Danio rerio: one gene and its partner. The protein of the gene in region 1 binds, or shares a complex with, the protein of each later gene. Links are inferred from orthologs where the notes say so. Each region holds a gene or a part of one and is shown on either strand. Other genes may lie near its edges.

The links.
Region 2: spg7 (region 1) and vdac1 share a complex: the UniProt entries of both Homo sapiens proteins name them as parts of the mitochondrial permeability transition pore complex. The link is inferred for Danio rerio from reciprocal best matches to the Homo sapiens genes SPG7 and VDAC1.

Annotation. Positions count from the first base shown.
Region 1 is NC_133182.1:57,155,992-57,159,822, forward strand, and holds part of spg7 (mitochondrial inner membrane m-AAA protease component paraplegin), read right to left. Parts: coding exon 3,739-3,831; intron 3,649-3,738; coding exon 3,538-3,648; intron 91-3,537; coding exon 1-90. UniProt on the Homo sapiens protein: Catalytic component of the m-AAA protease, a protease that plays a key role in proteostasis of inner mitochondrial membrane proteins, and which is essential for axonal and neuron development.
Region 2 is NC_133196.1:49,357,932-49,361,762, forward strand, and holds part of vdac1 (non-selective voltage-gated ion channel VDAC1), read right to left. Parts: intron 2,390-3,831; coding exon 2,237-2,389; intron 1,201-2,236; coding exon 1,148-1,200; intron 991-1,147; coding exon 763-990; intron 1-762. UniProt on the Homo sapiens protein: Non-selective voltage-gated ion channel that mediates the transport of anions and cations through the mitochondrion outer membrane and plasma membrane.

The DNA of each region.
Region 1 (3,831 bases):
GCAGCCATCCAACTAGAGCATGACCAGATTCATGGAAGGCTACCACCCTCTGCTCCTCCTTCGATAAGATTTTACTCTTCTTCACACTCCCTACAAGTCACACAAAATCAAACAAGCAGTTGTCAAAATTCTAAATTATCCTCCTGTGGTTTTGGTTTTCTTCTTCAAATGTTTCCCAAACTATGTTTAACAGAGCAAGAAATTTTTTTACAGTATTTCCTATAATATTTTTTCTTCTTGAGAAAATCTTCGTTTTATTTTGGCAAGAAAAAAAAAGCTTTAAACCATTAAAGGTCAATATTATTAGCCCCCTTAAAAATTATATGAAGAGTTTGGTTGCGATAAAAGCTATTTTTTGACATTTGTATTTTATAATTGAAAAACATTGTTCAGATGTACCTTAATCTATGTGTGAATTGCTGCCATTCATAAGATTTAAGAATGTACATTTTTGTTTATACTGTAGGCAAGCTGATAGTCACGTAGGCTACGTCACTGATCAACAGCTGTCTGTCAGTCAGAGAATCAAAGCTTCAGAGTCAAGCTAATGTCATGGATTTCGATGAAGGATTGGATCGGTCATTCCAGCTGCTGTTAAGGAAGGCATCTAAAGAAAATCATCAAAGGGAGAAGAACAAACGAGCAAGGCATTCAGGGGTTGGAAAACATCCGAAGATTAACTGTGGTCATCGTGCGAGTCATATTGGTCGGTGTCATGCCGGCAAACTGTCAGATGAAGATGAAGCCTTCAACTTCACAAAAATGTAAAAAAAAATAAACAAATAAATAGTGGACCAGGACAAAATACTCCTGCTTCTGTCAACAGTACACAAATGCAGCAGGGAACGAATTTCCGCTGATGTCAAGAGGAAGACCAGGGAGCGCCTTTTTTCTTGCGCTCCTCCCCATCAAAAGATACCTGTCTGCAAGGCGACATTTCTAAGTGTCCTTTGTAAGTTTATTTTTAAAATAATTTCTTACAAGTAGCTGAGTAGCCTATCTGAAGATTTATTTATGCGATTGCACCTATTCATAGCCTAAAACCTTACATTAATTCTTGTTGTTGATTTATTATAAGGGATCATAGAGGGCACAGTTTGCTATGGAATAATAAACAGTTTTGTTTTTAAACAACAACCAATAAACTCTATAAGCCATTTTATTACTATTATTATTATTATTATAGTGAAATGACTCAATAAATATGACAGGGCGAGGTGAGCTTGTGTTGCAGACTCGGTGCAAAAGAGACAAGAACTATGACACTGTGCCTCTGCCTGATCTGATCATATAGGTTTGATTTTCAGCAGTGATGTGGAAGGAGCCGCCCTCCACTCTTCCTTCACAAGTAACAAGTTGTTTATCGAACTAACTTAATCTTACTTATAAAACAAAACTGATGTACTAGCTTTTCTTAATGGCATTATTGTAGTAGAATATAGCCTAAGGTGGATTTATAGCGTTTGGCTAAAAATAAATTAAAAATAAAAATAAAAAGGTATGTTGTGTTGTGTACGTTCTGGCCAAAAATAACTTAGAATCTTAATATTATTAATCAAACTTTGTATATACTGTTATACTGTTCCATATGATTTATGATGTATTGCTTTTTTAATGTTTGACAATGTTAAGATAAACAAAACGAAATTCTTCATATATATATATATATACCATCATTATACAATAATTTGCCTAACGTATAGTTAAGCCTTTAAATGTCACCTTAGGCTAAATACCAATATCTTGAAAATATCTAGTAAAATATTACCTACTGTCACCATGGTGAAGACAAAAGTAATCAGTTATTAGAAATTAGTTATTGAATTAATATGTTTAGAAATGTGAAAAATATATATTCGTTAAACAGAAATTAGGGAAACAATACACTTCTGAACAAAATCTTAAGACCGGGAAAAAAATTTCAAGTATTCACATTTTGCACTGGTGTATCGTAATCAGGTTGTAAGTACTGCTTTGAAATGCCAAATGAAGACACAGATACGTCACATAAAAAACAGAGAGTAGGTAATTAAATGAAAACTGCATTTAAACTCAAACAGGCTCGAATCAGCTGATAGGACCAGAGCCTTAAAAAGTTCTACTCTGTGCAAAACTGGCTTTTCCTTCGGCCTGTAACATTTTCAAGATCTCTAGATGGCAAAAGCAAAAAGACTTTTTCCTTTTGAACGTGGCAGGATTGTTGAGCTGCACAAGCAAGGGCTCTCATTGCGCGTCATTGCTGCTGAAGTTGGACACAGTAAGACAGTCATTTTAAATTTCTTAAAAGATCCTGAGCGTTATGGGACAAAAAAGTCAAGTGGTAGACCCAAAAAAACCGAGCCCGCACTGAGCCGGAGGATAAGGCAGGCTGTCCGAGAAGACACAGGCAGATCTTCAACCCAAATTAAGGCCCTTACTGATGCTGACTGCAGCCTAATACCATAAGATGACATCTTCGAGAGAAGGGCTTAAAGAACAAAAAAAACGTCCTCAAAGGCCACGTCTTCTCCCACACCACAAACTTGCCTGTTTGGAATAAGAAAGAGAGCACCAAACATGGGGCATTGAAAAGTGGAAAAAAGTTTAGTTCTCTGACGAAAACAAATATAACCTAGATGGTCCTGATGGCTTCCAACACTACTGGCACGACAAGGAGATTCCACAGGAGATTTCTTCACGGTACAGTGGTAGAGGCTCCATAATGATCTGGGGTGCTTTTTCCTTTAATGGTAAAACTGAGCTTCAGATTGTGCAGGGGCGGGAACTGCTGCTGGTTAAGTAGACATATTGCAGCAGGCATCCCTCTTGACTGAAGGCCCTCATCTGTGCAGCAATGACTTGATCTTTTAACAAGACAATGCTGCAATTCACAACACCCACCTGACAAAACGCTTCTTCAATAAGAATAACATTGCTCTTTTGGACCATCCTGCATGCTCCTCTGATTTAAATCCCATTAAGAACATTTGGGGATGGATGGCAAAGAAAGTTTACAAAAACAGTAATTTTTTATTTTTTTTTTAAACGCTACATCCAGACAGTTGGTGACCTTCCAAAAGCCATCTTAACCACATGGAGCAATGTTACCTCCAGCCTCCTGGAAACACTTGTATCAAGCATACCGAAAAAATAGTTTGAAGTGATCAACAAGAATGGAGGAACTAGTCACTACTGAGTCACTTTTGACAATTTGAGATCCATTGTCATGTTTTTTGGCCTCTGGTCCTATTCTTTTGATCCGCTGATTTCAGCCTATTTGAGTTTAAATGCCTTTTTTAAATAAATTGCTTATTGTCAGTTTTTTTGGCTTTTGCACCTGTGTCTTCTTTGGGTATTTCAAAGCAGTACTTCAAATACTACAAATCAGATTATGATCTTCCCTTCCAAAATGTGTATAACTGTAATGTTTCCCCCGGCGGTCTTAAGATTTTGTTCTGGAGTGTAAACAGGGGGGTTAATAAATTAGGAGGGCTAATAATTGTGACCTCAACTGTATATTTCAAATCAAAAGCACACATTAATCTAGCAGCTAGAAACCTGCAATGACTCTTTCCACAGCATATTCAAAGCTGAAGGTGTCGATGGACTTGAAGCCCTCTCTGGCAGCATGAAGGGCAGCTTCATTACAGATGTTGGCAATGTCAGCACCTGGAAAAAACACAACGATGTACAAATAGTATTGTGGCAGCCAGAACATGGTATTAATGGATTACAGGATTACGTCAAACTCTCACTTACCACTGAAGCCTGGTGTCAACTCAGCCAGGCGCAGAGAATAAAAGTCTGCTGGTTGTGTGAGCTTTAGGATTTTCAGGTGCTGCTCAAAGATTT
Region 2 (3,831 bases), on another chromosome or scaffold:
TTATGCTGTGTTCACACCAGACGCGGAATCTGGATCACGGAGGCTTTCAGCGATGCTTCTGACTGAGCCAAGCCCAGTTTGTTGACTTGTTGTCGGTGTCGCCTGGAGGATTTCCCCCGGAACACCATCAACTGGTTCAACGTCACAATCACGCCCCCACAAGAGCAAGCTTCTGATTGGTTAACGCGGCGCGAATGTCCGCTAAAGTTCAGATTTCGAATTCGAGAGATTGGCGCGAAACGCTCGTTAAGCGCGTCAAACGCGCAAACGCTCAATTCGCCTCGCGCGTATCGCGCCATTCCCGCCGCGCCATTCGTGCCTATCGCGCCGCAGGATGTCTATTCGCGCGTTTGCATTGACTTAACATGTAAATCACTCGCGCTTGACGCAAGTTCCGCGTCTGGTGTGTACGTAGCATTAGCCCTGCCTCCACAGTAGGCGGGGCTAAGACTCCACACTGCCACTGGCCGAAAGCTGAAAATAAACCTCTGTGGGCGGAGTCAAGGAGAAGGGGCAAAATAACAACCACTCAGAGTCAGAATATCTGGTCTTCCTCTTTCAGATCTTAAATTAGAAATAATTCAATCTGAAAAATAACTATTTATTCGATTCATTTTAACATCCTTATATAAGTGAATTTGATTTAAAAACATTACTTATAACATCTCCTTTGATTAATGCTATTTTTATATGGTAAGAAACATTGTCCCACTCTATACAACATTGCATATTTCACCGTTATGGCCCGTCCCTCATACGTACACATTGGTGTGGAGCTGGAACTCGTCGGTCTTGTATCCCACAGCGAAGTTGCTCTGTGTGATGCGGTTCCTGCCGGCCTCGAAGGTCATCTGGTACCCGGCGAGCCATCCGTCCAGGCCCAGCACCAGCGCTCCGTGCACCGCCGTCCCGTTGATGTCGTAGTCCACGTCACAGCCCAGGTTAATGTGCTCGCGCTGGTAACTGCTCTTGATCTTACCACTCTTCTTACTGCGGGACACCAGCATGAGCGTCAGAGGACATGCATGCTCAATATTAACACATTAAGTGAATTTAATAAATACAGTTGAAGACTGCTGAATTAATCATTCATTGTTCTGTGAAATTAATTAATTAGTTATAAATAAATAAATGCATAAATTCGTACCCAGTGTTTGGAGAAAAGGAGGAGTCGAATGTAAGCTTCAGCCCTTTGGTCAGCTGAGAGATAAAGCAGATAACGGTGAGTGTCAGGAGTGTCTGCTGTGTACTGGAGCTGCACTATACATCAGTTCAGCATCAGCATCGCAATGTGTAGACATCTGACCCTACGCAAACTTATTTCTGGGAAGACAAACGACCCCAAATACACCAGTAATTGAGCAGCATCTTGGTTCCAGACTAACAAGATTAACATAATGGAATGGCCAGTCCAGTGTCCAGACCTTAACCCAATAGAAAACGTGTAACCTGACATCAAAAATGCGGTTTCTGAAGCAAAATCAAGAAATGCAGAGGAATTATGGTCTAGATCAGGGGTCAACAATCTCGTTTATGGAGGTCCGGTGTCCCTGCAGGGTTTAGCTCCAACTTGCCTCAACACACCTGCCTGAGTGTTTAAAGTCTACCTAGTAAGAGCTTGATCAGCTTGTTCAGGTGTGTTTGATTAGAGTTGGAGCTAAAATCAGCAGGACACCGGCCCTCCAGGAACAAGTTTGGTGATCCTTGGTCTAGTACAATCATCCTGAGCTGGTAGACCTGTTAGAAGGTGTCAGAAATGGGCAGTTCTCTGAACCCATGGTTATACAACTAAATATCAGTTCAGTGATTTACTAGGAAGCTAAATCTTCTATCATTTCGCAGTTAATATAGTACATTTTGTCACTTTCTGTAAAGTAATAATACATTTAACCATTATTTTCCCAGTGTTCCCAATGCGTTTGTCTGTATTGCTATTACTTTGAACAATTGTATGTATAGTAAATAAAACAAAATGATTAAAAAATAAAATTAAAATGAATCAAAATTAAAACAAAAGTAAATAAAAATGAAAATAAAATAAAAATGAATAAATGAAAATTAAAATACAATTTTTAAAAAGTGAAATTAAATAAATATTTTTTTAAATAAATAGAAATAAAAATAAAAACAATAATAATTAAATACAATAAATAATTTGCAGAAAAACTAGATATCGAAGAGTCATGTTTTTCCATCATTGTGCAGCCCTGGTGTGTTTGGGTGCTCTCGGTCTGACCTGGTCCTCCAGGGTGATCTCTGTGCCCAGAGTGTTGTCCGTGTTCCACTTCTCAGTGAAGGTCAGGCCGTGTTCAGCCCACTTGTACTTGGTCTCCAGAGTTCCTGCTACTTTACTGGTCTCTGTGTTGGCCGAGCCGGAGCTCTTGAACTCCTGCAGTAAAATAAAGGAGCAGATGATCTCAATCAGAAACATGAGTGCAACACACACACACACACACACACACACACACACGCTATACTATATATATACACTTTCTGCTGCAATAAATAGGATTGACCCCAGTGGTTGAGTTGGGCATTGCAGTCCAAATTCAAAATATTGGAAAGGGTTTTTTCCCACCAGGGGTCTGTTCTTCGTACCTCGCTTAAATGATCTAAGATGATTTGGCAGATCCTGGATCCTTTAATCTTGATAACTGATCTCCGGCTAATTTGGTTCTTCAAAAAAGTTCGCAAATCAGATTAGAATGTCTGGATAAACTGATCTGAGATCGCTGTGTGTGTTGTGAAGGACAGATCTATCAATCCTCGAAATCATGATCAGCAATGCAGCGATTGGCTGACGGCACAGCAGCGTAATGACATCATCTGATTAATATTCAATTATCCATGCAAGCAAAATTACATCAAATTAGCAGTAAACCGTTTGTTATACATGACACGCAATAACCTTCCACATTTGTTGTGAGCTGCAGGCTTTACACTTTCATGTGTCAAGAGTATTCATCATGTATTTCAATTTTATTATAGTAGCCGTTTTTTAATCGGTGTAAAGAAAAACCGTTTTCATATTGGTAAAGGCGTCTGCAACTTTAGTGAAGCATCAAATCACTGGCATATTACTGTCAAAACATGTTTATGACTGCATAAATGTATTATTGGTTTTAAAAAAAAGTCACATATTCTGCATTTCTAATATACACAATTTGTACTAAAGCGATCTAAAAAGTTCATATCAATAAGTTTTCTCTTTGCACCACCAGGTGGCAGTCTTTATACTTTCATTTCGAGGGTGCAGATTGAAGTTTTATTAATATGTATAACTTTATTTTATTAATGACTATAACTTTATATATATATAGTTAAAAATATATGTACAATTTTCCCAAGTGTATATCACTACTACTGTAAGAAAATATCAGAATTCGGAACATACTTTCTGTATTATCTTTGCTTGAACTGAGCCGATCTAATCCTGTTTATATGAATTGAACCTGCTCCCGATCAGGTTTGACCTAGCAGAACTGTTGCTATGACAACAACTCTCGGATCAGCTTTGAAGAACGAAACGATCCTGGATCATGTCAAATCGTCAATATCCAAATCCAGCTAACTGAGTAATCCACATACGAAGAACGGACCCCAGGATTGATTTTCAGATGAACAAGTGTGTTTATTTAGCATGCTTCATAATATAAAACACCACAATATGTTAGCAGACAAACAATGTACATATAGCAGATTTCACTTCACACCAAGCATGAAAGAGTTTAAAAGACATCTAATAGACATGACTTACTGGATAAAACAAATTTGGGCTGTCAGTGAAAATTAGGGATATACAGATCCAATACTCAGTTCACAAATTGGCCT